4 linked regions of the Rhinolophus ferrumequinum genome follow. The protein of the gene in region 4 interacts with the protein of the main gene of each other region in a biochemical or structural test. Links are inferred from orthologs where the notes say so. Each region holds a gene or a part of one and is shown on either strand. Other genes may lie near its edges.

Region 1 (7,240 bases), on a different chromosome or scaffold from region 4:
AAAACTGACATGGATTTGATACAATACTGTTCACTCAACTAATAATCTTATGTGGATTATACTCTTTGGCTGCACTTTCTTGGGGTGGGGGTGCAGTGTCCAGTTCTATGGAATTTTATTGCATGTGTAGACGGGCATAATGATCACCATAACCAGGATACGCGTTGTTATTATTTCTAAACATTGATGAAAGCCCAACTATGCCCTGAGCACTGTTAGGCACTTTTACATAATAATCTCATGAGATAAATGGATTATTTCCATTTTGGAGTGAGAAGACTTAACAATAGAAGACAAAGCATTTCCCTCTCCTTTTGGTCCTTCGGTATCAGGCCTGTGGCTAGAGATACTCTTGTGTAATGTCATTAATTTCCATATGAGGAGTTGGTTGTCTTAACCTTTATATTGTACCTTTAATAAGTCATAGCTCTTCAGGTTTTAGACGTATAAAGAGAAAGTTCACAATCTGTTCACTTTTTTGGTTGTTGTTAACTACCATGAGGCATGAAGTGAGTGAAGAGATCACACAGCAAAGAGGATCCACCCTGCAGCCCAGAATGGCAAAAGCTCCAGGTCGGAAGTCCCTTTTGCATTCCCTCAAAACCATAGCAACTCTATTTCTGCTCTTGTTTTTCTTCTGAACCCAAACAATATTTATCCTCCAGGAATTATTTCTAAAAATAAAACAAGAAGAAACATGTCTCTACCTTTGGTTTCTAAATGTTACTTGTAACCTCCGATTTCGTTTAATTCCCCACTAGAAAACACTGTCCGTTTCGCTATCTTCAGGCTCCATGCAGTTAGAAAATGTATGCCCTCAATGCTTCATGTGCCCGTCCTGCCACTGGGGCGGGGAGATTCCCATAAAGGAAATATGGTGGAGTTCACTGCGGCTCAGCCCCGAGCTATGGACCATTACTTCTTGTAACGCTCTGCCTTTCATCAACTATCAAGCCAAGTCCAGCCCAAACAGTTGGGACGCTGGGACCCCACATCTGAGTTTTTCTCTTGTTTCACTGGCCACTCCTTTTCAGTGTCTTTTCCTATTTCTTCCTCCTCTTTCTGACCTCCACAGTTGGAGTCCTTGGGGACCATCCTCAGCCTTTTGTTGCCCCGCAACAAACAATTATCTGACCCCAAATGCCAATGGAAAGTTTGCCCTAAAAGATTTTATTCAATGCTATCATATACCCAGATTCAATCCACATGTTGATGACTCCCAAATTTCAATCTCTAGTCCTGCTTTTTCTCCCCACCCCAGGTTCTTATATGCAACTGTCTCCACTTATGTCTGTTAGGTGCCTCAAACTTCACTTGTTCACATGTTTGTGGGCAAGAGTTTGCTTGTGAACAAGTGAAGTTCGAGGCACCTAACAGTAAGTGGAGACACTTGCATATAAGAACCTGGAGTTGGGAGAAAAGGCAGGACTGGAGATTGAAATCTGGCACCATCCAAGGAATTGTCTCAGATTCGAATTCTGATTTTATGGAAATCATTCGATGCATGCATACTATGACTAGAATCAAAGAATGATGGAACTGTAGGGATCTATCTCTGGGAGATGAGAGGAAGACTCAGAAGCTTTTGAGATGGACCTAAATTTATACACTTCTTGTGATGGGAGAGCCAGAATGAGAACTATTGTTTGTTACAGCTTCAGGGCTGATACGTTTTCCTGTAGCTGACTTGGCTCCCTTACGTAAAATATGTAGCTCAGTTGCTTTCGCATCATTATTTTCCTAAGTCATTGTTAGATAGACAGTTTCCTATAGTACAGGGGTCAGCAAACTACAGCCCGCAGGCCAAACCGGGTCTGCCACCTGTTTTTGTACAGCCCATGAGAATGATTTTACCATTTTTAAACAGGAAAAAGTTCCGAAGAACAATAATAATTCATGACATGTGAAAAATATATTAAAAACAAATTTTAGTGTCTGTAAATAAAGTTTTATTGGAACATAGCCACACTCATTCATTTAGGTATTGTCTCTGCCTGCCTATGCACTACAGCGGCAGAACTGAATAGTCACAACATACACCATCTGGCTGGCAAACTGAAAATATTTACTATCTGGCCCCTTACAGAAAAAGTATAGTGACCCTGGTCTACTGACAAGAGCTCAAACATTAGATTTCAAGAAAAACAAACAAACAAACATGGATTTCAGTTTTCACTCATCTGACAGTGTGATCTTTGAGTACGATTCAATGTCTGTGAACCTGAAATTAAATGGGGATCATAAGACTTTCCCTGAAGGGTTGTCAGACGTGTTAGAAGCAATGCCTGTACAGGTTTAAAATATACTAGGAACTCAACAAATATCAGCAATGACAATAATAATACTTACTAATATTATCATTAACACAAACTTTACCTTCAAAATTTCCCCTTTGGTATGCATTGAGAGTTCCTGTGTCAAATGCCTTTTGAAATGCAGGCAAATACACGACGTAAAACAACTATCCTAGCCCCTTTCATCCATTAGTTGGGTGATGACAGAACAAATTCTCATCACATCATGTTTTGACAGCAGACTGCAAGGAGGTTAATATCTTTACAATTCACGTCATTGCACCCCATCATGAATTCCCTGAGTAATCAGTTTCCTGGAAAATTGTCTCCCGAGTGATAAAGTGACACTATCTGAAATAGGAAATTATCATATCCTGCCCAATCCTCTTTCCAACTTTCTTATCCCAAGAATGTCAGAAAATAAGTTCAGTTAACAGAAAACGGGGAGCCAACATTCAGTTAACAAATAGCAGATAGAAACAGTCCCCAGGCTACCAGAACCCTACTCCTTCAGATTTCCTGGAGGACACTTAGAGTGGCCATAGAGGCCGAGTTTAGCCTTGCGTTTTGAACAGCATCGCCACAGGCATCTAGGATCAGAGTTGGGAGTATGCCTGACACTCACCTTGACCTCAGCCCTGTCCACCTCCTGTCCTTCAGAAGATTCTGCCATCCCTGGTGGCTTCTTGGCATCAGACATGCCTCCTGGCTTCCATCTCATTCCTGGAGTGCAAAAGAGGTCAATTCTAGCCCTTTTTCTTTGTGTGACCCCATCCTCTCCCCTTCTTGCATCCCGCCATTTTCTCCTGTTCTCTAGTCAGTTTGGGCTTAGCAGAGTTACTTGCAGCCTCCTCAGACTTCCTCTTCCCGCTTCACTCCCCTTTCTATGGCACTTTCTGGGATGATCCACATCTCTCACGAGTGACAAGACGTCATCTTGCTAATTAACATATGGCCTAATTATGGCGGTGTTACACTTTAGAAGACAGAATTAAAATCTGGAATGACCCAAGTAATTAGGAGGAGCAGGCAGAGACAAATGAAAGCAGCAGTGACAAAGTGAGGGTGGGCAATGACTTGGGCACGTCCTCTGAGGCTGAAAACAACTGGCCTCTACTCAGGTGCATGGACACCTGGGGATTGACTCCAAGCAGGCTGCTAATGTCACAAGGGAGTATCCTATGTAGGGCAAGAGGGGATTTTCTTTCCTCACCCTCCTCTTTATCCTCTCCTCCAGCACCCGTGGTGAGAGCAAATGAATCAGAAAAATTCATGCCCACAGAGTTGAATTTTCACAGGGTGTTGCAGAAGACCCGGGACAGTGGGGAGGGGTGCAGTGTGATAGCTTTTTTTTTTTTTTTGCACTTTCTTTTGATACTATTTTTTATTTATTTTTAATTATAATTGATATACGTGTGATAGTTTAACTGCCGTGCTGAGGTGGACACTAGAAAGTGGTTCCTACTCTGCTAGCATTTTGGCCTGGGATTAGAAAAATAAGGACATCATGTGCACATTGGTTGGGTTCCCCCAGAAGTGGACTTTGGGTCAAGAATGTGAGTACAAGGTGTTCATTTGGGAGATCTAGGAAACCCTGGCAAGGAATGAGAAAATGTGACAGGGAGGGGAAAGAACGTGATAGAAGGTATGTCAGCAAGCACGTTATCACTGTGAGCCACTGGAGCTCAATCCAGCTGGGGAGACAGAGCAGAACAGGGGTCAGCCAATTTTTCCCATAATGGGTGAGATAGTGGATGTTTCCCGCTTAGTGGGACAAATGATCTCTGTCACAACTACTCAACTCTGCCTCTGTAATGTAAAAGCAGCCATAGATAGTACAGAAATAAATGGGTATGGCTGTGTGCCGATAAAACTTTATTTGCAAAACCAGGCAGCCAGTCCAAGTGCTGTCGTTTGTCAGCCTCTTGCTGTAGAATAGTGTCTCTCAAACTTCTGTGGTGAAAAACAAAATGTTTAAAAATGTCCAAAACAAGACCTTTGTAAATACAACAACAATGAATCACTAGAAAACATGAAATAAAAAACACATTCAAAATACAAGTCTTTCAAAAAATTATTAGAATGAAAAGACACGCAATGTCTCTAATTGCTGTAAGTTTCTAAATACTCTGAAATTGTACGACTTTTCATGGTCTTATTGGCCATCTACCTATAAACTTTTGTGAAGTGTATTTTCAAGTCCCATTTAAAAAACATAGTTTCTCAGAGAATTGCTTGGTGGTGTAGCCAACCCCCGTCTCCCTCCCCCTCCCCAGGAACTGGGTACCAGAATGGTTAGATGCCCTTTAGACAATCAAATAGCAACATCATAAGTTTGAGCCTGCGGGGGCTGCAGAAAAGTCTAGGCTGGAATAATAAATTTGCAAGTCATCAGCATACAGATAGTATCCAAAACCATGAGATTGGATAAAGTCTCTGATCTGACGGGGTAAGGGTAGAGAAAGGAGCCCAGGAGGGAGGCCTAGCAGCTTCCAGCCACCCACAGGGTGGTATTATCCCTGTAGAAAGTTTGTGTAAGATGAAACATTGGTGGTTTCACAGACAAGATGGAGTTTGAAAAGCCTTTGGGGCTCCGGGAGAGAGGCAAGGGCAGAATGAGCTCTAGCTCCAACACAGAACAGTCTGGTTTTTATCAGTTTCAACACTTAAGCTTTATTTCCAGAAGAAACGATAAGGCTTGGGGTATTCACTGCTAAGTGTATTTGCTACCTGGATCTAAGTGAAAGGACCCTACGCCCCCTTTACCATTTCTATAGAAACGAAGCCACTACTGTATGCCTATGGTAGACATTGTTTACTTTCAAGTAAGCAACAATATTTTCATTATACAAAGCTTTGAATGCATGCAATCCTCTATGACAAGATTTCTGATAAATTATATTGCTTTTGAAAAAATTGGGCTTTATTGTAAAATATTTTGGTTCCAAATGACCTAATAGTCAAGAATCTGCCAAATATTATTGTGATGATTAAATTTTATGCGTCAACTTGTCTAGGCTACGGTTGCTTGGTTGGTCAAATACTAACTTAGTGAAGGTATTCTGTAGATGGTATTAACATCTACAATCAGTTGTCTTTAAGTAAAGGAGATTACACTCTGTACTGTGGGTGGGTCTTATCCAATCAGTTGAAGGCCTTAAGAGCAAAAACTGAGGTTTCCTGGAGCATAAGGAATTCTGCCTTAAGACTGTTAACAGAGAAATCTTGCCTGAATTTCTAGACTGGTGGCTTACCCTATACACTTAGAACTTAAGACTACAACATCAACTCCTGCCTGAGTTTCCAGCCTGCCAGACTGCCCTACAGATTTCAGACTTGCCAGGCCCCACAATTTTGTGGGGCAAGTCCTTAGAATAAATTTCTTTTGTGTGTGTGTGGGGGCGAGTGTGGGTGTGTGTACACACACACACATATATGCAAATATATCCTATTGGTTCTGTGTCTCTAGAGAACTTTGACTGATAAAGCTATTTATTCACAGATTTCATGTAGGTAAACATTAATAAGAAAACTATATTGAATGGTCAAGAAGCATCCTTGGTGCTCCTCTAATGACGTGTACTACCCCAGGACACCAGAGGTGCCTTCAGATGTTTGATGAATGGAAAAAAGAGGAAGGGAGGGAAACATTTCCATCTGCCAACTGAACTTTCCTGCAGTTTCTGCTTGGAAATCAAGATGGAGATGATCTGTAACTGGTGGCCTTGATGCTGACACAGACCACCCTCAGCACCTCTTGGACAGTTCACCGCGTGCCACTCAGAAAAGAAAAAGGCTGATGAGTTGTTCTTTATAGACACTGAGGGTAGACATTTCCAAAACCATAGTGACTTCTAGAAACAATATGCCATTGATAAGAAATTACTTCGAATTGCAAAATGCATCTGTGTCAAAGAAATGGATGTAGAAGACCGCACATTCTTTTGTTAGCAAAACTGAATTCAGCCAGATACACTTTCCCATGTTATTACAAAGCGAGTTCTATAATAATTAGCAACAGACTGAAAGACAGCTGATTTTCTAAATCACTTGCTTACCGATACAGGATTGCAACTCAATAGGACACTCTGAATAACTTATTTTTAGGACATATGTTTTGCATGCCATTATTTTCACAAAGAGATGTTTTGTGAAACAAATTGTTCATGTCTCTGACAGATTTTTATGTAAGAAGTAAATAGAAATACCTTCATAAGATCATAGGCCTAAATGTAAATGCAAAAACCCTAACATTTCTTGAGAAAAATCATAGGAAAATATCTTCTTGATGTTGTCGTAATCAAAGATTTTGTTAAACGTGACCCATAAAGCATTAACAATAAAATAAAAAGTGATACACTGCATTTCATCAAAATGAAAAGCTTCTGCTCACCAAAAGACACCATTAGGAAATGAAAAGGCAAACCACAGGCTGTGATCAGATTTGTAATACACAACCCATGACAAAGTACGCGAATCCGGATGCTAAATAGAACTGCTACAATCAACAATAAAAAAGACAAACAACTATGGTTTTGAAATGGGCCTTGAAAATAACACTTCACAAAAGAAGATTATAGATAGATGGCCAATAAGCACATGAAAAGATACTCAGTGTCATTAGTGATCAAGAAATGCAAATTAAAACAATGAGATGCTACTATAAACCCAGTTAGTTTAAATGGAAAGGTTAGCATTAACAAGTGGTAGCCAGGATACAGAGCAACAGGATGCTTATACACTGTTGGTGGGGATATAAATGGTGTGACATATTTGGAAGAGTTTGACACTTTCTCATATACTTTCCATAGTCTTACTTATAGGTATTTCGCTCCTTGGATGGTTACCCAGTGGAGATGAAAACATATGTCTACACAAAGACTTGCATATAAATGTTCACAGGAACTTTATTCATGGTAGCCAAAAACTAGAAACACCCAAATGTC
Region 2 (8,153 bases), on a different chromosome or scaffold from region 4:
GGGTGAGGGTCGGGCCCCTGCAGGACCCGCGCTGCGCTTGCTGCGCTCACAGCCCGCCGTCCTGCAGGACCTGAAGCCCAGCAACGTGGCAGTGAACGAGGACTGCGAGCTCAGGGTGAGCCCTGGAGGGGGCGGGGCAGAGGGGCGGGGCTTCCGGGAGGCGCTGACCCCAGGCGCTTGCTCTAGATCCTGGACTTCGGGCTGGCGCGCCAGGCTGACGAGGAGATGACCGGCTACGTGGCCACGCGCTGGTACCGCGCACCTGAGATCATGCTCAACTGGATGCACTACAACCAGACGGGTGACGTCAACTCATGGGGCTGCCTGTGGCTTGGGACCAGGGTGGGCAGGCTGAGCTCATGCCAGGGCCTAGGGGATGGGGGTGGGGAGCCCAAAGCCAACTAAGTGGAGGTGTTCCAGTCGTGGGGGACTGCAAGGTCTGGGAGCAGGCCTTTCAGAAACAGGCCTTCAGAGGAGCAGAGTATGGTGCGTCTTGCCCAGGGCTGTGTCTAGAGGAGGAAGGGACCCGGGTACGATTTGGGAACTGGACTGGCGCCGTCTAGGCAGCCCCCCAGTCCTCTGAGGAGGGACCTGGGGTGGACAGGCTGATGGAGACCCCTTCCCCAGCAGTGGACATCTGGTCTGTGGGCTGCATCATGGCTGAGCTGCTCCAAGGAAAAGCCCTTTTCCCAGGAAATGACTGTATCCTTGGCGCAGGTTGGGGAGGAGGGTTGAGCCAGTGTCCCTTCCTGCGGGATGGGGGACAAGGGAGGTGGGCTCTTTCTGGCTAGTCTTGCTTCCTGTGTCCCATGCCGTGCCATCGTGGGCTCATGGTCCCCAGCTGTAGGAGAGCAGGTTCTGGGCAGTGCCCCAAGATCTGGGATCTGGCGGCCTGGCAGTGGGCATTTCCTGAGCCAGGCAGACATCGACCAGCTGAAGCGTATCATGGAAGTGGTGGGCACACCGAGCCCTGAGGTTCTGGCAAAGATATCCTCCGAACATGTGAGTCCTCTGGAGGCAGGGCGGTGGGGGCATGCACCAGACACCATGTGGGGAGCGTGGGCCACGTGGAATGGAACCTAAGGCGGCAGCCTGACTCCTTCGGGGGGAGCAGGTGGACATGAGGGGCAGCGAGGGCAAAATTGCAGCACTGACAACAGTGCCCTGGCCAAGGCACTGGGAGTGAGATGCTGGAGCCACCAGAGGCAAAGGAGGTGGTCTCTGCTCCATGCAGGTCCCTGCCCAGGCCTGTTGGACTGCATGAGAGTGGGGCTTTCTCTCAACGAGCCCCTGCCTAGTTTGGGGCCAGGGTAAATAGGGTGTGAGCAGCCCCCTCAGGCCCTTCCATGTGCCCACAGGCCCGGACATACATCCAGTCCCTGCCCCCCATGCCCCAGAAGGACCTCAGGAGCATCTTCTGTGGAGCCAACCCCCTGGGTGAGGATGGGCCCTGGGTCTGGGCTGGGCTCCACGTCTGGCCCTGGATGCAGAGCTGCCCTCCAGCCCCTGCCTTCCCCTGACCACTCTGCAGCTGTGGACCTCCTGGGAAGGATGCTGGTGCTGGACAGTGACCAGAGGGTCAGTGCAGCCGATGCCCTGGCCCACGCCTACTTCAGCCAGTACCATGACCCGGATGATGAGCCCGAGGCCGAGCCCTACGATGAAAGCGTTGAAGCAAAGGACCGCACTGTGGAGGAGTGGAAGGGTGGGCAGGGGGGCCGGGCGGGGGTGGGAGAGGTGAAACCCAGGGCCTGAGGGCTGCCTTCCCGTGGAGGCCTGTGCGGGAAGTGCCTTAGCTCCTCAGGGTGGTCTGGGAGGGGCACAACGTGGCCCCCAGCTCTGGGGTGGGGCGGTTAGAGATGGGGTTGGTGTGTCCAGAAGAGGCCGGGGAAGCATGGGGCAGGCTCTGGAAGGCCCGTGGACTGAGGGTGGTGGGCCTGGCTGGGTGACTGGCACCAGACAAGCAGATGCGCAGTGCTGAGCTGCTGGAAGCATGAGTTCAGCTTTCCCCTCACTCCCCTCCAGAGCTCACCTACCAGGAAGTCCTCAGCTTTAAGCCCCCAGAGCCACCACAGCAGCCGTCTGGCAGTCTGGAGATTGAGCAGTGACAGGAACACTGCCGGCCAGCCACACTGGAACTCAAGGAGGGGACTGCACCTGCCTGCCCCCCTTCCTCAGCCTGCCGGGTTCCCACAGGGGTGCCTCCCAGCACCACTGTGGCTGGCAGCCTTGACCCGTGGCCTGGGACCCCTGGTCAGCACGATGCTCCAGGTGGGATGCTGCATGTGTGCCAGCCGTGGGTGCAGGAGTCTGGGCCGAGCATGCCGGCCCTCCTTGGTCCTCCTGCCCCCTCCCTTGGAGCCTCACTGTGGGGGGGCCTGGATGCCTAGGGAATCCCCCTGGGGAGTGTGTCTGTCTCCAGGTCTCCTCAGTCCGTGGGTTACCTTTAGGGGGTGGTGCATTGGAGTCAGGGTACTCTGAAGACTCAAAAGAGGAGGGGTCTCAGTGGTCAGAGCTGCTCAGCCTGGGAAATGCTGAGATCCAAAGCCGTCGTTGCTGGGCAGGGTCTCCCCTGGAGGGTGTCAGGGCAGGGACAGCCACCAAGTGTCGAATCAGAAAATCCGCCTGGAGTCGTGTTTCCCTGTGCTGTGTGGTACAAATGCACTAATGTGTGTCCTGGTATTTACATGTCAAGGTGTGTGCAGGCATGTGTGAGTCTGTGGGTGCCTGAGGGCTAGTGGCCATGACCAGCTGGAGGCTCAAGTTGGGGTGGCTATATTTGCCTCCCCCCAGTTTCTGATGTCATGGGGGATTTGCTGAGATCCTGCTGTGCACCCTGTGAGGGGCTCAGGTGAGCAAGGTGCAGCCATGCTAGCAAAAGCTGGGGCGTTCTCCTTGAGTTTCTGAGGCATGAGGGCACGGTGCCAGCTGGGGAGCTAGCGAGCACGGGAGGGGCCGGGGGGACGCTAAGGGGGCTGGCACACATCGAGGTGGACCTGGACTCGGACCCTGGACCTTGGCCCAGAGCTGATGAAGACACCTCTGCCTGTTCTCAGAGCTGAGGTGCTCTGGTCTGCGGGTCGGCCCTCATCCTTCCCGCCAGAATGGAGCTGACCTAGTCACCTCTGGGACAGGACCCTGCTCCAAACGCATTGGGGCTGTGGGTCCTCCCTCGAGGGACTTCTGTGTCAGATGGTGCTGTCAGGTGGTGACCTCGCAGGACCCAGGGAGGTCTGAGTGTCAAGGGCACGCACCAGGCTCTCGCAATAAAGGAAGTTCCCCCTCGTTCAGCTGTGTCCCAGGCTTCAAGAGCTGCCCTGCTGCCCCCACTGCCCGAAGGGGTGGCCAGGTCTCTGCATCACACACCCACCTGGCCTGGCCTGCACCCACAAGAGGCCTGCACTGGCCAGATCACTTGGGTACCCAGATCTTCAGCACCCTCTGTGCTTTACCCAGCCAGGGGCCCTGAGGGGCAGAGTGTGATGGCCTCCCACACCCGAGCCTGCTGCCCTGCTGGGGGTTCATTGGACAGGCTCAGCGCCTGGTCCAGATCCAGACTGCCCCTTCACTCAGTGGTCAGGGAGGCGGCCGGGCACGAAGGCCTGCCCTGCCTGGAGCTGGGTGGGGTGGAGGAAATAGCCTTCCTTCCTAGTTAAGGGGAAAGAGGATCATTTCAGCTCTCCAGATGCACACTGAGCTACTGGCCTCTACTGCTCACTGCAGCTCAGGTGGGGGAGGGCCTGGGCCCCAATGGGCGTCAGGCAGGGTGTCTCCACGGCAGGGACATTCTGTGTCCTTACCCTGGGCTTTAGAGGTGGAAACCATCTGGGAGTTGGACCTCTAGGGGCCTGGTCAGCAGGACTACTGGGCTTCAGATCTTGGGGAACCTGGAGATCAAGCTGGGCCAAGTCTTGTGTGTGTGGGGTGGGGGATGGCAGCAGGGCTGAGATGCCCCACCTGGGGGTCTGGTCTGAATGGGAACCCTGCTGGGCCGCACCAGAGAGTAAGGGGGCCAGGTGGGAGCTTCCTGGCCGAGGCAGGTGGAGTGCCACAGGCAGCCCAGGACATGAGGGCATGGGGTACAGTTGGTTGTGGCTCCAGTAACCCCAGGCTGTCCCCACTGGCTAGTCTCCAGCTCCTGAGTGCTCAGAATCGCCAGCCAGTCGGCAGACCAGGTGTAAAGCTGGCTGGCTGGGCTTGAGCTGCTGATTCATGGTGGCTGGCTGGGCACAGAGGGCGGGGCAGGGGCCCCGGGGTCCTGTAACCCCGCTCCCTCTCAGACCTGGGTCACTGGGCTGGGAGAGGATGTGGGAAGGGGCTGGGGGCTCTATCCTTCAAAAGTGGCTGGTCCAGGATGGGGACGTGACCTGGCTCATGAAAGGATGGTGCCCCATGGAGGAGTAGCGAGGTGCTGAGAGCCAGGGTAGGGCCCTGCTTCACCCCTGGGGTCAGGCACACCTTCCCCAGCGAACGGAGAGGCTGGAGCAGGGCTCTGAAGGACAAACGGGGCAGTAAGCTGTGTGTGGGGGGAGCAGGCAGAGGAACTTGGAAGTGCTTGGAGCAGGCTCCCACCTGCCAAACTGAGGAGAAGCAAAGAGCACTGGCAGTGCACAGGTCCACACGCTCCAGCTCCAGGGTTTGGGAGGCCTGGGGTCAGTGGTCACCGGGAAGGGTGTTGGGGATGCAGCCTAAGTGCGGGAGGCAGAACCAACTACCCACCTTGGGAAGGGGCACCCATACTGGGGGATGGACGGATCAGCACAGGGAAGGGGGCCTCCTGGGGGTGGGGATTTGACTTTGGGAACACAGCGCTCAGCTAAGGGGGGGGTCGGATGGGGGGTGGGCAGTGACCTGGCTGGGGACAGAAGTCCTGTGGGCTCAGCGCCCTGGGGACAGGGCTAGTAAGACCGGGGCCCCTGCTAAGACACCCCACGCGCAGGCGGGGGAGTTCAGCCCGACTGAGGAGGCGGCGGGTCTCAGACGCCGCGTCCGGTCCGAGGTTGGGCTGAGCTGCGGGCGGCGCTCCCCCCACCACCCCCTCCCGCCTTCCCGGCGGCCGCCGCCTCGGGTTTCCGGAGAGGCTGGAGGGCGGGCGGGGGTATCACGTGCGCGCGGCCCTGGGGCCGGTTGGTCCGCAGGCAGGGGAGGAACAGGGCGCTACCCAGGCAAGGTTGGGGTCGGGCCGGGGTCGGCGGCTCAAGCGAACCGGAGGAAAGAACCCGGAGCGGAGTAAACGCGCGGTGGCCCCGGGCGCTCGCCCAGGGAGTCCCGCCGATCCCGGCCCGGTGCTCGGGCGCGGCGCCCGAGGGGTCTGCGGCGGGGCCGGCACCCGGTCCGGCCATGAGCTCTCCGCCGCCCGCCCGCAGGGGCTTTTACCGCCAGGAGGTGACCAAGACCACCTGGGAGGTGCGCGTGGTGTACCAGGACCTGCAGCCCGTGGGCTCCGGCGCCTACGGCGCCGTCTGGTGAGCGCAAGCCGGGCGGGGTGGCCGGCCGTGTGGCCGGCCAGTTGGCGGGTATCCGGGCGGGTTGGCCCGACCCTCCCGCTAAGCCGTGCGTCCCGCAGCTCGGCCGTGGACAGCCGCACAGGCGCCAAAGTGGCCATCAAGAAGCTGTACCGGCCCTTCCAATCGGAGCTGTTCGCCAAGCGCGCCTATCGAGAGCTGCGTCTCCTCAAGCACATGCGCCACGAGAACGTGAGTCGCGCTGGGCCTCCGCTCTGGACACCCGTCCATCGCCTCTGCTCGTCTTCCTGCCCCAAAACTCCAGGTCCCACCTACCCGGACCCCCTGTGTGGTGCCGCGTAGGTGGGGGTCAGGGCAGCCTCTGGAGAAGGGTGGGGGCTGCAGGTGGTGAGGGCAGAGCCCACCTCTTTCTGAGAGACTTCCCTGGGGTCTAGTCCTCTCCTCCCAGGCCAGTCTTTGGGAAGGTGCCTCTGCTTCTTCCTGGGGTCACGTCTGTCTCCGCAGCCCAGGCCCTGGTGAGGGGATGGACGCTTGTCCAGGCTGAGGCCATTGTCCAGGTCTCACCCCAAATTCTGTGGAGCTATTTTCCTGGAAGGGACACCCCCGCAGCCTCACCCAGATGCTCTCCTGAACTCACCGTGCTCCAGTCCATCTCCTGAGCAGCAGCCCCAGGACCTGGGGTCCCTGGGAATGCAGAGCTAGGCATGGAATTGGAGTCAGCATCCTGGCTCTGTCACCTCAGAGCCTTGGGGTCTCCGGTGGTGGAGGACACTGGGCCAGTGGCCAGCACACAGATGCTTCCTTCACAGCTCTGGCTGGGGTTTTGTGGACAGTGTGGAGGGCTGGACCTGGGCCCCCACCTGGGAAAGTCCCCCACCCCCATGCTTCCAGACCTGTCCATGGGACACCACACATGTCTGCCATGGGCCTCTCTGGTGCCATTGCTGGCTGCTAAGAGCCTTCCTCTGCCATGGGATTTCTCCTTGCTTCCCCCAGGGGATGAGAACTCTGCCCACCCCCACTCCCCAAGCCACTCCTGCCTCATGCCCAGTCTGGGCCGTCTGAGGGCTTGTGGTCTGGGCACCCAGGCCCTGGCTAATCATGCTCCTGACATATGGTCTGGCCCCTCCTGGGTCATTGGAGCCCACAGCCTCCCCTCGGGATGAGGAGTCCCCAGGAAACTTGTCCCCTGGGTTTCTGGCTGATGCCTACCCTCTTAGCCCCTTGGGTAGGTCCTTCATTCTCCCAAGTTTCCCATCACCACCCTTGGCTCTTCCCAGGTGACATCCACTCGTGGTGGACACCAGCGCAGCCTGGGCTTTATTACATCCTGGTCACGCCTGTGCCTTGACCCCTTCCTCTACCAGGCTTCATTTGGCTTTCCCCCCCGCCCCCCCGCACACACACTCCCACCACCCATCCTGCCCGTCCCAAGGGCTCTGGACTTTGTGTTCAGTCATCTGTGCTGGGGCCGCCCCCATTGTGCCAAGGGTCTTACCATCCCTGTGGAGCTCCTGACCTGCCCAAACTGGACATTGCCATGTCCTGAGCACCCTGCACACAAGCTGGGAGGCGCCGCCTATCGTGAGCCCATTTTCCTTGGAGGACACTGAGGCTCTGAGAGGCTGACTGCAGTGGTGGTGGGGACTCACATGTCCCGCTCCTGCCCCTCCCCCCCACTCCGGCTGCCATCTCTACCTCAGAGGCACAGAAGTCTCCATTAACCTGATGGCCCCTTAATCTCAGGGACTCTGTCCTCTGTCCTCTTCTTGCTCAAACACTCTCCCAGTGCCCCAGGCCTCACCTCTCTGGGTGTCCTGCTCTGCTCCCTCCTCCCCGCTTGCTCATGGCTCTGGCCCTGGTGGTCATCTAGCTGTCCCTTCACCTCATGTCCACTCTCGCCTCACTCCGGTCTGTCCCCACATTCAACATAATGCCTGTTTAAACCCTTTCTTGGCGGCTGTAGGACCAAACCCAAACCTCCACCTGGCATGTGAGGGCTTGCTTAGGCTCCCTCTGATCTCTGCGTGGTGACTCCCTGGCCTGGCCCTCGGCCACCTGGCCTTCCTCACCATGTTTCTCAGATGCTCCAAGTGTTCTCCATCCTGCCTCCGCTACCATTCACATTGCCTCTGCCAGGTGTCCCTGCCACCCATGGCTCACCAGCGTGCTCCTTCGGCTACTCGGATATGCAGGCCTCACTGGGTCCTTGGACACCCTGTCACCCTGAGCCCTGGGCTCCCATTGTCACATTACCTGTCTGCTGTCCCTCAGTCCTGACCAGGGGTCTGCAGGACCAGGTCTGACTGTTGGTTTGGTCATAGTGCTGCCTGCCTGGGCCTCTCCAGCAGAGGCACAGCCCTGAGAAGTACCTGCCGGATGTTTGCTCTCCCCTGGGAGGCTGTCCCCATCCTGGTCCTAGGTCTTCAATGGGGACAGGAAGAAGGGGAGGAAGGGCCAAGGAACTGGAGCTCCTTGGACGGCTGGGAGCTGATCCAGATTAGGGGGCCGCCCCTCCCCTGAGGATCCCGGCTGTCACTGTCCCAAAATAGCCTGGCAGGTGTGCCAGGGCCACGTCAGTGCTGCCAGTAGGTAGAGCCAGGCCCTGCGCACAGTGGGGAGCGATGGGGACAGCTGCAGGGGGCTTTTCTGCCCAGAGCACCGTGCCAGACTCAGGGCTGTGCCCAA
Region 3 (7,488 bases), on a different chromosome or scaffold from region 4:
CTCGTGAGATCCTTAAGTAGCTTAAATGAGTAAAACATTCCTACTGCTACTATAATGAACATCTCTCAGTCCCTCATAAATTCTTTCATTCCCAGCAATCAAGAAGCAGCTGTTAAATCCAGGCATGGGAAGACCTCCAAGCTAGCCAGAGAAGCTTCACAACTGCTTTCTTCTCCTTCCCCTCCCCCCATCCCAGGAGTGCCAGCCTGGCAGGAATAAAGATGACCCAGGAAGGAAAAACAGAGCGAGCAGCCGATCTGGTGAAAGCAGAGATGCAGACTCCCTTCATTTCCACCACAGAGAAACACCAACTCTCTGTACCAACAAACCAGGTTTCTCTTTTCCTCTCCCATTCCCACCGCCTTCAAACACATTATTAACGTCTGCAGTCTGGTGGTCTGGTATTTCCAGAGCTAGGGACCTCAGCGATCCTAAGCCCTTTCCTCAAAAGATCTTGAACCAGGCACTTCCTCCCTGTGCCAGAGCTGGAGGCCCATCCCACGGGAAGATTCAGCTTCTCTTTACCTTGTAACCCGCCCAGACGGCGCTGCAACTCGGGTCAAGTTCAAGATGAAGGTGCCCTCCTAACCTCTCCGAGTTGACTCCAACAGGGGACAGCGCTACCGAGACGAGTCCCATCACTCCAGGCATGGGGATCTGGGGCTGCCGAGAGTGGCCTGGAGGCAGTTCAGAGGCGAAGACTACGACAGTCTCTCAGCCCCGCGTCTCCGACCCCCTGGCCGCGGCGCCTGATTTCTACCTGGCCACCGCCGCATTTCCTCCCGGAGCCTTGTACAATAAGTCAAGTAAGTTTTGAGAACGCTTGTCCTGAGACATTTCTGCCTGCAAACACAACACACAATGCTTAGGGCTTCCTTCCTAGCCAGCCGTTCCGGAAAGCTGCCGCGCCAAAGCCGGGAGCCCCGCACACCCCCAGCATTGTTCGCCTGCACCCCAAAGTCCTTCAGGAAGACGGTGCGCCCTGACATAAGTACCCTCAAAGTGACCACTCTCCAAAGAACGGGGGGATTTACAATCTTGATACAATTCTCGTCTTTCTCAGCTCTCCCTCAATACCTAATCCTACCTGGCTCACCCCCCACCACCAAAGGAACATAGATATGCTCATTGCAATGTTCTTCCAAGCGAAGCAATAGACTTTCAGCCCAGACTGGGGTATTACGACATCACCCTCCTCTGGCTTAAGTTCACCCAGCAACTTCGCGATCCGTGCTCCCCTACACTCGGAGGTCACCCTGGACCCCGCGGTGCTGGGAGCGCCTCTCCCTCGCCTCCCCCGCCCCAGGTACCAGGCGTAGCCCAAGCCCTTGCCAAGCCCGAGGGCTACAGAGGAGGCGAGAAAGGGGGCGAGGAGGCCGGGGGATTGTGCGTCCTGGGTGCCCTCGAATCCCAGCTCCGCCGGGGCCGGTTCGGTACAGCTAGGAGGGGATGGCGAAGGGAAGGCGCAGACTCTCCAGAGACGCCAGGACCAAGGCCCGGGGTGCCCAACATGTCTGTTCCTATCCCCGGAAAGCTCCTCAGTGTACCCAGTGGGGGGCGGGGGAGGATCCAGAAACTTTCCCACATGCCTTTCCACTCTCCCCATCACCCTCTCCTCCTCCCCGGGACCCTCTCCTCCCCTCTGCTCCGCTGCATCTGGCCGTGCCCCGGGCGCACAGAGGCCTGCTGCGGCGCCAGGGCGGCGGGAGTTACCTGCTGGGAAAGTTTCCAGCTCCTCGGCGCGATTCCCCACCCCCAGGGCTGGGCCTCCGGGTGCGGCCAGCTCGGCGCTCCGCGGCTGCCTCTCCTCCCGCTTCCGAAGCGGCCGCTGCTGCTGCAGCTGCCACAGCAAAGGCTGCGATCCCGCCCGTCCCCCCGCCTCGCACGGCCCACACCAGGGCCTCATTGGCAGCCCGAATCCCCGCCCTTGCGCGTGTTCCCGAAGGCACCTTCCTCTCGCGCGCGGGCCCGGGCAGCGCCTCCCGCACCCCTCCCCGCCCTGGGCTGCCGGGGCTCCCGGGACCCGTTGGATCGCGGCGCTCGAACTTTCCGCGGGGTTCAGGCCCGGCGCCCCCCTGCTCCGTCTCTCCCGGCCAGGTCTCCAGCTTTCCTCAAGGGGGCTAGTCCCTCGAGTCTGAGCTTGAGTCACTCCCGGACTGGATCAAGATGGGTGATAGTCTTTTTTTTCAATCTCTTTAAAATCAGTGAAGTGACCCGGCCTCCCCTCCTTGCTGCTTTTTAAAAACAACCGAGAAGGACATATGGGAGCAATTAACAAAGCTGAAGTTTTGGTGGATTCTTTAAGGTGACTTGTGTGACTTGTCTTGAATTTTCTCTGCCTCACTTAACTACACACACACACACACACACACACACACAAAAAAAAAACACACACTCACTTTCTGTGCAACAATGTGCTAAGATAATGGAAGGTGTAAGGAGCATCTCGCCTGCTTGCTGTGTCTTTCTTTCGCCAGAGCGAATTGGGGACGTTTAGGGACCGGAGATTGCCCTGGCGTCCCCGGGGCCCGGTGTCTACAGCCTCCTCTGACAGCTCCAGGCTGGCCCTGTGCTGTCTGTGCTACATCTACCGAAGGCTAACGACGGGCTTTTATCCGCGGGAGGAGTAGGTATGGAGCCGGGAGAATACAAAGATGCTATTATTGTTTTGGCTGGTAGGAGTGAGTGAAATTCCCAAGTTCCCAAAATGTTTTGTTATTCCCCAGTAGACCGAGATCCGGGATAGGGCCTACTGTTTCAGGAGTCCTGGTTTCGCTGGCTTCTCCTAGGAATCCCAGGCAGCCTGGGATTCCTATTCAGGCTGGGGAGCTCAGCCCACTCCACACCCAAAGCCCTTTAGACCAGACCAGACCGGCCTTGGTCACCGAAGGATCAACCAGGACTGCTGTGCCTTGTGTGGCCTGCGGGACTTGTGCAGGAGTCACCCCAACGGTGTGTCTGTAACTGGGAATACAGAAGTTGCTATAAATGGATTTATTGGCAACCTCTAACCTTGCTGTGGCAAACCCGCCTTTAAAGACAACTGTTTTAAACAAGTTCCCCCATAAAAACTTCAACCTCACGCAGAGCTTCCCAATGTAAAGATATCCGGGGAGGGGAGTGTCCATACCTAAAGTTCTTATGAAAAGGGGCAGGAAGCAAAATGCCACACTAATCGCTCTACATAAATAAAAGATGCTGAAATTTGCTGGATTTTTCACCCATGTTTCAAAGGCCTGATTATTTCTGCACTGATATTTGAGCAGTAAACATATCAGCAGCATTGAAGTTCTCCTGAAACAAAGCAAGACAGAAACATTTAAAGTAAAATATCAATTTATTAAACCAGAAAAACCTTTGACTTATTTCTTCACTCTGAAATGTCTCATTGCTGAAAAATACTGTAATATGTTTTATTTAACTTCTCTTGAAATGCATAAAAGTTAGCAATCTTTCAACAATAGATGAAAAAGCCAGACAGCAACCTTAATGATGAAAGAATGACACAAACAAAAGAAAAAAAGAGAAACTCCATGGTAGTTTTAACTAATCTGAAATATTGAGATATAAAAGAAACAATCCCGGAGAAATAGACTGGTCTGATTCCCTGCCTCAGACTTCTTTATAATTGGTAAAATGTATAATGGCAGAAATCGACAATTTGTATCACATTCTGTCTTTGGCTTTTCTAAGCTATATTCACCAAGTTTTTGATGAAATCGCGTAGTTAAATTGGGTTTTGAAGACAGTGAAATTCATTTTTTCCTCTCTATCCTCAGAGCTCCCTAAGTAGTAAGTAGAAAAACACATAAAGTAAATACGTTAATTACTGGAATCGTCTTTAGATTCTGTTTAGTTGAAAAAATGTCTTCAGAGTTTCAGAAGTCACAGTCACGAAAGAAATAACTTCATCACTGCCTAGTTAGGAGTGCTTAATATTCGAAACAGGCATATAGCTAGCAATCTGAAATTTGTACACAGAGGGCCCTGTCTCCCCTTCTTCCTGTAGTGCTTATATAATCCAAACTACATATGTTATTATGCACAATCTGATCTCCAGCTTTAAACAGCTAACATTACATACAGTATGTTATACTAAGAACATCAAAGCTGTCTGAAGCTGTGAGTGAAAATGGTACATTTTATAGAAGACAAGGCCAAAAACACCGAGTAATAAAAATTCATGGATGAGGGGGAAAAGGGGACCCATTAAGATCAAGTCTGTAAGAAAATATTTGAACATTTTCTAAGCATCAAATATGTGAAGTATTAGCTGAGCACAGGTTCAAAAAAATGATATTTGATGCTTTTTTTAAACCTGCTTTTCCTTTTAAAAATGTTAAATGTTTTTAGTTAGTTGTTAGGTGATGGTTTATTTGTATTTTAGGGGGAAGGGAGAGCAAGAATCACCTCTTGCTTTTCTTGGGGGTATTTCAGCTCATCCCATTAAGTTTAAAAAGCTCACTCATTACATTTCTGTTGATTCCAACTGAAAAAGAAATATGGATCACATGACTATTATATACTGAACACATTCACCAAACATATATACCATATACTGGATTCCATTTTTAAAGTTTCTGTCAGTCTGCCAGCAATGTAGCTTTTCTCAGTAGAATGCAAGAAAACAGCAAATAAACTGGTTATTTTACCGTGCAATTTACAGCCCAGGGCAATAGGCTGAGGAAGGCGTGAGAAAAGAATGTGGCTTGTGCGTGTTAGAATGCTTTTTCTCTTGCTCAGATTCTTAAGTACTTCTATTTTAAATCAAGCCTAAGTTAGGATCATAGCCAGTGTTTATTATAGTATGTGTAGTATAGAATACATAGTGAGAAGTGAAATGTTTAAAACAGTGTAGTAATTAAATACAAAAACTGAGACAGGACTTAAAAAAAAAAAATTAAGGCAAGGTAGGGAATCCAGACTCAAAATAATTCAGCCCACAAACACTTTTCACCTACTTTGGAGTATCTTTTAATGTTTACAGAATTCATTCTACTTTGGTCCATTCATTCTTCCTTTCCCTTTTAACATTTTGGGGAGAAAAGGAATTTTTAAAGACATGGGAATACTGAAATAGTTGGATTATAGGTAGAAATCAGCTGGGAAAAGCAATGAAATTACATACCCCTACACAGTCCGTGCATGTGTAACGATCCATGGTCACACACACATACGGATGCCATGGTCAGATGTCAGCTAATGGCAGACATTCGTCCAGGGATATTGAAAGCCATAGCTGTGCACAGTTAGCCAGGCAGTTAAATTAAAAAAGTCATCTAATGGGACATTTAAACACCTCTTCAGGTCTAGCATATGGCCTGGCGATATTGTAGAAACTCATCCAATAGGGGTGACGCAGTGAATTATTAATATTTAAACCGATAAGGAATCCATCGAGGAAAGAAAGTAGGGAGATAGATTCAGGGGTTCACATTTCCTTATAAGAATGTAGGAGTAACTAAAAGCCTGGGAGAATCTGGTTTAAGATGGCATGCCATCTGACTAGCATTTTAAATATAGATTTAGACCAATCTTCTGATGGTGAAATGATCTATAAAGAGATATAGAAATTTCCCATGTTCAGGAAGGGTGAGGTAATATAATCAGGTAGTAATCCCGCCAATAAATGTTGTTGAATCTGGCTAAGATGGCTTAAAAAGAAATGTGCCGTTTAACTTTGAATATAACAAATGCATTTTAATATTCTCCTCCCTGGGAATGATGCTTTCCCTCCTCTCAGCAAGTTGTATAAAAAGGCATTGACATAGGAGTCATAATATCTGGATTCCAGTTCTGACTTTGGCAATTGTAATTCCTGGCAATTCATTTATACTTTTTGAGCCTTGCCTCCCTCATCTATGAAATAAGGAGTACAGCATAGGATTGCCACCTCACACAGTTGCCAGGAAGATTAAATAAAATAAGGTGACACGCATTTAATAAATTAGAAAATGCTCTACAAAAGCTAACTTTTATTTAACAGACAATAAACTATGTTTTTCCCTCCCCATTACCTAGGACCAGTTTGGTTGGAATAACAACCTAAAGGCTTGATTGGAGCAGTCCAGAATACCACATTTGCCAAATGTGAAAGGAAGAGAGCCTTAAAGATGATTTAGTAGTACATAATAACTCCAATTAAGCTCTCAGAGGCTCATCTGGGGGTAAATTGGCAGTTCTTGTCTCAAACAGTAGTCAGGAACCATTTACAGAGTTATATTTTTTCCTGTGTTAGTGTTAAGGAGGGATAGTGTAGCATATGTACAATACATGGGTATCTCAGTTTATGCAGATCGACATATGGAAATTCCTAAATACACAATAGATTCATTTAAAGGAAATGTTTTCTTTAAAATATTCTTGCTGAGATTCTTTGCAAGTGCCACTACAATCTGATTTACATTTTTAATTACTAACCATCCTTTCAATTTTGTGAAATAGTATTGATAAACACTCATGAGATTAGGAGCTTCACCCACATAAATATTTTCTGTAAGACCAAGCACTATTCAAAACTCCTTTGCAAAGGAGTTTTATATTTGTATTTATTTGAAGAAATATAAATCAGAGAATAGCACCCACCAAAAGTTTTGGTTTCAGAGGGTGAAGAGCCTAGCCAAAATGGACACTTTGGTTTTGTTCAAAAATCAATTTGCTGGTCCCCCTTTGATGATCAGACAACCTAATCCAGAAAAAGAGGAGGAATATTGATACTATTGTTGATGATGATGATCAATTTTCTAGAAGGGAGAGAGGTGTCCCCACTAAAGGGCAATGCAGAATAGATGGAAGCTACTTCCAAGCCAAATTGTACGTAAAGCAGGATTCCTGCATCTAGAAGACTAGTTTTTCAACTAGTCTTGGGATTTTAATACAATAATTAGAAGTTCTATTAAAGATCTGAACATTTTAGATTTAGGGCAGAAATGTTTAAATATAAACTTTTGCTCTCTATAACTTTCATGTATGTCACGTCTAACTGTTTCAATGGCTTTAACAGGAGTCATGTCTGCCTAAGAGAAAATAGGGCACTATGTAATTATCAGGAGAAATTAAACTACTGGGCTTCATTAGCGAAGTCACCCCTTACCTAGAGCATTTGCTCTAAAAAACAGCTACTTAGTAAAGATTGATTTGACCTCCTAGTGAGCTGTAGCTAAAGCCCTGTTACCTTTCCGTGAATTCAAAGCTCTTCCTAAACCTCTTTTTGCTTTTACAGCTAATCTATTGCTTCTCACTCTTCAAGGTTTTCAGTGCCTTTGAAAAGACCACCTGAAGGGAAAGAGATTACGGATACAATTAGAATAGAAACAAGTTAAAACAAGACGTCAGGAACCCAAAATACGACAGCAACACTGGGGGTTAAAATTGGATGGTATCCTCTTAGGTTCTTCCTGCTCTTTCTCATTCTCTACACTCTCATCCTACCTTCAGGAGCCAACCAGGATGTTAGAGGCCTAAATCTTGACAAGGAATTGGTACCGT
Region 4 (8,062 bases):
TTAGCAAGATCCTGAAATACTTAGTTGAAATTTCATTTCTTTTTCATTTCATCTGATGTTAAAGATGTGTATGGGAGAAATTTTGATTCCTTCTTCCTCTTCACCCTCGCACCAGGACATCTTGTATCCCTATTTAGACCAACTTGCTAAAAAGCTCCGAGAATGTGGTGCATGCCTTGCTTACCAGGATTTCAAAGAGCCATTTTATTCAACGTCTTTAATAAGGGATCGAACCTAGCATTCCACAGTTCTTAAAAAAGAATCAAATGTATGAACCCGTAGGAAAAGTGACTTAAATTTATATCATAGATATTAAAAGACTGCTATAAGGCTTGTTTCAACAGCCGGTTGTCATGGAAGGGAAGTAAAGGGAGTACAACTCAGTATGAGAAGGTAGAACATAAACATCTAAGTATTTTCAATCCTGCCTTGGGCTAGTCTGATCCTGGAAGCAAGTCCCCACTGTAACATTCTAAAATGAGTGAGCAATCAAATAACTCTCACCTGACTGACTGTCTGGCTGAGAATATAGGTAGTGGTCTATCTAGTTTATCAAGGACCCGCCCAGGTAAATGCCAGACACATGCAATAGAGGGTGTTTGCCAACCCATTTAAAATTGATGAAGTACCTGCTTGCCAACTGGGGCATCCCTGCTCAGCCTTCTGTTCATATGCCAACCCCCAGTCTCAGTGCTTTATCACTAACCCAGCATTACAATTTTACAGGAGCAGGTAGTCAATAAGCACTTAATCAGTGTGCATTTACATAGGGACTCAGGAGTTTTACATTTCCAGCCTCCCTCCTGCTCCTCTCTCAGTCTGTTCTCTAACTTCCCCTCAGATATCCAGGAGGTCTCCACTTCCTCCTCTTCGCTATTCACCTTGAATCCACTGTCCATCCTGTATATGGAATAATCCCCCAAAAGATGCTCCACCTGTTATTCAGGAAACAGTGCCAAACGTACAATGATCATATTTGCAAACCTAAACTTTGGCACACGTGCTCTCACCAGTAGAAGTTTACTCAGTAGGTAATAGGAAGTAATATTTGAAATCAAGACTGTCCCTGGCTATCCAAAATATATGGTTGTTGAAGCTCGTAGAAGACAAGGAGGATGGTGGTCTGTGTCATAATCCGCCAGGGCCCTACCTGTGATCCGGTCCAACCTATTTCTCTGATCTCTAATCTCTCTCTTCCTCCCATGAGTTGCCCCAGCCACTCTGACCTCCTTTTGGTCCCTTGAACCAGACAAGCTTGGTTCTGTCTCAGGTTCTTTGCACTGGCGTTTCCTTCTCCCTGGGACCCTCTTCTTTAGATCTTCCTTAGACCCCCCCCCTCTTCTTATCATCCATGCCCCAAGATCTCCTTGTCTCAGCCCCAAGATCTCCTTCTCACAAAGCCTTTCCTCAACAGTTATTAATCCCCCAGGTGCCCCTTGCTCCTAGTCACTCCAAATCCTATTACTGTGTTTTACTTTCTTCCCAGAATTTACTTCTCCTCGAAAGTATTTTACGTTTGCAGTCTTTCTTCACCTCCACCCTCCCACCCACTACGATGGCACCTCGCGGGGCACTTCTTCGCCAGTTTGTCTGCTCCCATATATGGCACCTAGAACAGTGCCTGGTGCCTGAGACATGGTAGTAGATGTAGGACACTTTGTGGAATGAGTGGATGAACACTGCCGCTCCTGCCACGCACTGTGGCTCACTCATGTGGAGCTGAGGATTGTGTGACCTGCTTTTGGAAGTCTAAGTTCACCCAAACATCTGTAGGAAAATGCACTTCCCACGGGAAAGGAACACACACCAGAGAACCCCAATTTTGCCTGGGTGGGAAATGGGAGCCAAAAGTTCAGGACAGAAGGAGGAAACAAAACAGAAGATGAAACTAAGCAAAAGAAATCTGGTAAAAAAAAAAAAAAAAAAAAAGGAGGGGGGCTTCAGATGTAATGTGTGGAATACTGAAGGTGGGCTGTTAGTCATGGCAACACAGTTGTGGCTTTGTCGCAAACTCCTGATGTGGCTTGCCTCCAATCTGCCATTGTTCTACTCTGAGCTTCAAATGCCACTCTTCTACGATGAGAAAGCTGGAAGTCTCTTCAACCCTTTCCAGTGACCATTCTTCCTAAGGGGAGACCTAGGAGAGTATAATCTGGCCTGACTGTGAGGATTACAGGGCTGCAGTGCAGTAGTCCCACCCAGAACTAAGAAATGAGTTCAGTAAGGTTTACCTTTGAGAGTCAGCATGAATAATCAGAGGCCAGGTATGCAGAGCCAGCTATCTGAGGGATAAGATTGGATTTCTAGGCCTTGAAGACCATAGCAGTAGCCAGTTTCAACATATGAACATGTCTGAAGGGGAAAAAAATGCATCAATTAGGGAAGGGCAGGGTGTTCTCTAACCTTGGAAAGAAGGCGAGGCCAGACCAAAAGCTGGCAGGACCCTTCTATGTGTGGTCTAGGAGAAGGGCCTTCCCGCTCTGGGCTTCCCTCCCAGTGGAAAGTCTGGCCTCAGGGCAAGATGGACACTGTAGCTAACAGGCTGTGAGTATTTTCAGAAAAATGTAGGGCAATGGTTGAGTCCAGACTCTTTATAGTTGACTTCGAATCCTGACTGCCATTTACTAGTCCCATGACTAGTGCTACATGAAACAGTTTTTAAATGAGTCTCTCTACTTTTCCACCTCTAAAATGGGAGTGATGATAACAGTAAGTATCCCCCCAAATTTCTGGAGGGTTAAGTTAGTATGTATAAAGCATGTAGAATAGGGGCTGTTATTATAATAATTCCATTGGCAAAGCCATCTCTATCACGCATGCCTCAGGCCTAATGGTGTTAAATATATGTCTTCCCTCCTTCTGAAGCCACTTTGAACAGCAACCTACTCCTTCCCGCGAAGCTTTGCTTACACAGAAAAAGAAAACAATAACAAAAACATGCTTATTACAAGATTCTGAGAAATTCCCATCGGAGAGCCTGCAATATCTTACGGCAGACTGGTAAATTATTTCTAGTTTTGCCTGGGGCCTCCCACTTTGCTTGACCACAGAGACAAAAGATACAGGTGCGATGCAAATGGAGGATTTTGCATCTGTACAGGAGCAGATCTGTTTTGATTTCTAAATCGTCATACTGGCATTCTAATGCTTCTCTCCACCTTAGTGTGCTTGGGTTAGAACACAGACCCTCAGGCTCTGATCTCAGCGATGTATGTGAGTCCTCAGTGCCTAAAGCAGAGGGAAGTGCCAACTGGTTTTCCCACGGGACAGTGGGACCACCTATGTCAGCTCCCTCTCTGATCCTGCTCACAGCAGCTGCTGTCCCTACCATGGGCACCTTCACATGAAAGAAAGAGCTTTTGGAAAACTGGTAGGTTAAAAATAAGAAAAGGAGGACACTGCAACTAGAAGCATGAATCCAAGGGTTCCCAGCGACCTGTCTACAGTGACTTTTCCTCCTCCTCCTCCTCCTCAAAAATAAATAAATAAATAAATAAATAAATAAATAAATAAATAAATAAAATTGTCCAAATGTTCTCATTTCATTCTGTGACTCTGCCTGGAATACCAACCACCCATTAGGGATTTGTTTGAGTTGTAAACCTTCCTCAGTGAAAAGTGTGAGTCGTTCAAGAAGACTTAGAGAACTTCCAATGATACAAATCAGTGGAAATGTGTTCAATATTTCTTTTCTCTGACACCTTGCTGGATTGGGTTTACCTTCAGGAATTTCATAGATTTTTGAGTTGTTTTTGGAGAGAGGGGAGGAAAATGTGGAAAGGGGAGGTAACCGAGAACATGAAATACTTGGAGAGGCCCATCAGTACTGCTGAGGGTTGGGGGAGAACTTGAGAAGTTCAAGGACCAGGAGGATTCTGGGAGGACTATGACATGGGTTATGTTGGCATTTCCGGATTGACCCGGGAAGGTAACCAACAATTATAATATTGTTCCCTGGGACACAGGCAGCTTGAACTCCAACTAAGCAACTTGTAAAGGAACTTTTGAGGATACAATCCGTTGCAACTGAGTTCCTAAATGGTGGGCTTCCTAGAGAAAATCTTGGGAAGAAAGACCCAGGAAGCATTTGAGAAAAAATATAGGTTGAGAAGCATAGAGCATATAATGAGCTGGAAGAACATTTGTCCCTGGGGTCTGGGGCAGGCAGCTACCTGCTGAAAACCCTGACCAGCAGAGACTCCTCTCCAGAGAGCTGGCGGAAAGAGGTCCTACATTTAAAGAGAGGGAGTTTGGGACCACTCGAGTTATGCTGACGTTTCTTTCATCCTGGGTTCTTGGGACAGCTTTCTCTCCCCCCTCTCAGAGAACTCTGGGCCTCCGTCTGAGTCTACTGAGAGTCTTGCGGTAGGAAGTGACAGGTAAGAAAGAACTCAGCAGAAGCCAAGCCTTGGTTTGAGGAAACTGGAGTGAGAAGACCTGGGTCTAGATACAATCTGGGGATTAGGACTAAAAGACAATTCAACGGGGTGAGTGAAAGGGAAAGTGGCTCAGGAGCATCCAGTAAGGGGACCATGGCAGGGACACACAGACCCAGCAAAGGTGCGGTGTGGGAACCCGCCGCAAAGGGAGAGTCAAGATGCGAGTGCTGGGGCGGTGTGGACGGAAAGCCCTAGGGAAGCTGTCCCTGCAGCGACGGGAACTCCGAGGAGGGAGGCGGGGAGGGTCTGAGCCTGCGGGCGGCGTGTGACCGCCGAGGCTGCGGCAGCTGGAACAGGTGAGCGGCGGGTCCCCGCCCTTCCCCTTCGCGGCGAGCGTGCCTCCTACCGGCTCTCCTCCGCGCTTCGCCGTGCCGCGCTGCCCTGGGTTTGGGGTTTTGCAACTGGCAGCTGGCTTTTTTTTCCCTCCCCTCCCCTGTTTCTGTCTCTCCTTCTTTTAGATTGCTCCACCCCGCCCAGGATCAGGCGAGGGGGGAACCAGCTGGGCTGCGGCTGCCAACTCGCGCCCGGCGCGGCAGCGAACTCCGGGAGTGGAGTCCCGCGTCCTGCCTTTTCCCCTCGGAGCGCGCTCTCCTCGCGCCCCCGGGCCCCGCGGCTCCCCCACGCAACCCTTCCCCACTTTTCCCCCCTTTTGCAATCACATGGCATTTTAAGAATGCCGGAAAGATGGCGGTAGCGGCGGCGGCGGCGGCAGCGGCGGCCGGGCTGGCCAGCGGGGGAGGCGGCCGGGCACAGCGCAGCGGGCTGCTGGAAGTTTTGGTGCGGGATCGCTGGCACAAAGTTCTGGTGAACTTGAGTGAGGACGCCCTGGTTCTGAGCTGCGAGGAGGGCGCTGCGGCGTACAACGGCATCGGGACCGCCACCAATGGCTCGTTCTGCAGGGGCACCGGGCACCCGGGCGCGGGCAGCTCGCAGCCCCCGGACTCACCGGCCGGGGTCCGCACCGCGTTCACCGACCTGCCAGAGCAGGTGCCGGAGTCCATCTCGAACCAGAAGCGTGGCGTGAAGGTGCTGAAGCAGGAGCTGGGAGGCCTGGGCATCAGCATCAAGGGTGGCAAGGAGAACAAGATGCCCATCCTCATCAGCAAGATCTTCAAGGGGCTGGCGGCGGACCAGACCCAAGCCCTGTACGTGGGCGACGCCATCCTGTCGGTGAACGGAGCCGACCTGCGGGACGCCACCCACGACGAGGCAGTGCAGGCGCTGAAGCGCGCTGGCAAGGAAGTGATGCTGGAAGGTAAGGGGTTAACGCCGCGCGCGGGCCGCGCCAGGCGCGCACACCCACTCACCCTCCCACAGCGCTGCTCGCACTCTCACCCACGTGCTGGGGTGTCGGAGGTGGCACGGAGTTTTGACAACTTTTACCCACCTGGGGGTAACTTGTCCCCACCCTAGAGTCGTTACAGGCTTTGACCCAGGAGAGGTGTGTGAAAAGGCGAAGCCAGCAGGGTGTCTTGAACTCCTACTATGTGCCAAGCACGGGGTAGTCTGCTAAGTGCGCACCGTCTCATTTTTATCTGCAGATAAGCCAAGTGTAGTGTAGGGGCTGGGAAGTGGAACTGGAAATGAACTGTAGACGTAGAGAGTCATCATATCCACTGTACGAAGCGAACTCACTGAGTAATCGCAACTCGGATAGTTTTTTGCTTTGTCAGAATTTCCTCCTCAGAAGCCTGGTCAACCCTCCTAAAAGGGTTGAATGGCGACGGGGCCAGAGAGAGGTGGCAGTGTTTGAATGCTCAAACTCCCACCACCCTTCTCGACTTCCCTCCTTTCCAACTGGAAACTGGGGTTATGGCTGGAGAGTTGTGCCAAGGGCTGGGAAGTGAGCTGCAGCTTTATGCAGAAGTTCACTTCTGCTGCCAGGTGTTCGGCCGGTCAGTCGGGATTCCAGGTTGCTCTGGGTGGAAAGCTGGCGAAGTGGTTTTTCTGCCTCTCTTTTCTTGGGATTTTTCCGGAGGGGTGTGAAAACAACTTTGTATTTGTAAACAGTTTCCCCTGCCTGTGAGGCATCTTAGAAACTACTCTCTTGAGAATAGTGTCCTAATTATTGAATGTGAATACAATAGGTAGTGCTTTTTGTACCTATTTGTGGTTATGTGGTGGCATGTGGAGAGAAGGGCAGTAGGGTAGTAAGCGGATAATCGGTTCTTTCCCACCACCGCTGCATTTTTCACTTGATATCTGCCTCTCTGCCACTTAACTGGCTTTGTACATACCCCTGTCAGCACTAATATTGTGTAATTATTTTATAGATTTACTCAGCTTCCCCCTAACTGTAGATTGAGCTGTCTGGGGTCTTTTATTCCGTCATGGGTCATCTCCCTTGGGCTTAGGGGCTCAGTGACAGACTTGTTGAGTGAAGGAACAAATGAACCCATACCTATTGAAATAGAATGTTCTTCTGAAATCTTGTAAACTGGTGGTTAATTTAAGTCCTAAATTAAGGACGTAAGTCAATTTTCTGTTCAACTGATGTGCTGGTATGTGAAACTGAGAAAGTTCAAAGTTGGGAAACCAACTTTGTTATGTGTGACAGCAGATATAACCTCTTGCCTATTTCCCGACCTGGAATAGGGAGGATTTCCCCTCCCTCTTATTTGCCTAAAGGATTCGTGATGTCTTCATATTTAATTGCTACCCTGGATCTAGAAAGTGGAAGGCTATTTGCTTTGGCTTGATGATTAACATAAGTAAACAGAAAAAAGTTTTCTTGACTCCAGCGTGTATTGGTTTGTGTGACAAGGGGCAGGTGAGATCTGGGGGAAGTGTAGTTTGGACTATAAACTGCTGGACACTGGTTCAGCTTGCAATATTTACTGTAAAATATCAGGGAAGACAAAGGCAGGTCATTTTTATTTCAGGCACTGCCCTTCATTATATCCCTTCTATTCGTCTGCTTGATTTCATTTTAATGAATAATGCCTTAGCAAAGAGGTAAAAAAAAAAAAAAAATCTCTCACCCAAAAAGAGGAAGAAAAGGTGACTCCCTGCAGTTGAAAATAAACAAACAAAAGACCATCAACCCGTTATGTGACTTTATTGATGTGCCACGTGAAAAGTGAGTTTTGTAAAAACCTCTAACATGACCTTTTACAACACATTGTCATATGTGGCAGGCAGCACGTCCGGGGAAGACCTCTGGGCCTTCTAGACAAGAACCAGCTGGGCTAAGGGCAGCGGTCTTATTTCCAGCCTCAGCTTGCAGAAACTGACGGCTCTTAAGAGAAGCAAGTAGAGGCCCCACTCAAAAGAGTGTCTTTTATTCTGAGCGAAGTGTTGGTCCTATTAGATGTGGTAGGAGTGATCATATGCCGTCAAATCAAACGGCAGACATCCTCTCATTTGTAGTGCGGCCTAGTACACAATTTCCCTGCTGAAGGGGCTTATCAGAATCATTGGAAGGGCTTTTTAAGACACGTATCTACTTGTTTGTATTCCAAACGCCATCTTGATTCCAGAATTTCTATATAGGAAAGGCTTTGCAGATGTCACTTCATTGGACGGGAGGGCTAAGGGAGATGTTTTAAAGATATAGTTAAAGATAGGGAAAATACACTTTTTTTTTCCCATTTAGATTGTAGGGGGGAGCTGATGGAGATTAG

What was found.
Region 1: the proteins of SNTB1 (region 4) and FRMPD4 interact in a test that uses a peptide from one of them, tested with the Homo sapiens proteins (2 studies listed by IntAct, with this or other methods). The link is inferred for Rhinolophus ferrumequinum from reciprocal best matches to the Homo sapiens genes SNTB1 and FRMPD4.
Region 2: the proteins of SNTB1 (region 4) and MAPK12 interact in a test that uses a peptide from one of them, tested with the Homo sapiens proteins (2 studies listed by IntAct, with this or other methods). The link is inferred for Rhinolophus ferrumequinum from reciprocal best matches to the Homo sapiens genes SNTB1 and MAPK12.
Region 3: the proteins of SNTB1 (region 4) and TANC1 interact in a test that uses a peptide from one of them, tested with the Homo sapiens proteins (2 studies listed by IntAct, with this or other methods). The link is inferred for Rhinolophus ferrumequinum from reciprocal best matches to the Homo sapiens genes SNTB1 and TANC1.

The regions. Positions count from the first base shown.
Region 1 is NC_046284.1:117,976,909-117,984,148, forward strand, and holds the start of FRMPD4 (FERM and PDZ domain-containing protein 4), read right to left. Parts: upstream 3,149-7,240; 5' UTR 2,920-3,148; intron 1-2,919. UniProt on the Homo sapiens protein: Positive regulator of dendritic spine morphogenesis and density. Required for the maintenance of excitatory synaptic transmission. Binds phosphatidylinositol 4,5-bisphosphate.
Region 2 is NC_046293.1:438,932-447,084, forward strand, and holds the start of MAPK12 (mitogen-activated protein kinase 12), read left to right. Parts: upstream 1-5,030; 5' UTR 5,031-5,340; coding exon 5,341-5,465; intron 5,466-5,566; coding exon 5,567-5,696; intron 5,697-8,153. Other genes in the region: MAPK11 (mitogen-activated protein kinase 11), read left to right, coding at 1-115, 187-301, 628-702, 923-1,002, 1,359-1,437, 1,532-1,705, 2,026-2,108. UniProt on the Homo sapiens protein: Serine/threonine kinase which acts as an essential component of the MAP kinase signal transduction pathway.
Region 3 is NC_046291.1:63,164,625-63,172,112, forward strand, and holds the start of TANC1 (protein TANC1), read right to left. Parts: upstream 3,089-7,488; 5' UTR 1,714-3,088; intron 1-1,713. UniProt on the Homo sapiens protein: May be a scaffold component in the postsynaptic density.
Region 4 is NC_046297.1:58,867,897-58,875,958, reverse strand, and holds the start of SNTB1 (beta-1-syntrophin), read left to right. Parts: upstream 1-4,790; 5' UTR 4,791-5,123; coding exon 5,124-5,694; intron 5,695-8,062. UniProt on the Homo sapiens protein: Adapter protein that binds to and probably organizes the subcellular localization of a variety of membrane proteins. May link various receptors to the actin cytoskeleton and the dystrophin glycoprotein complex.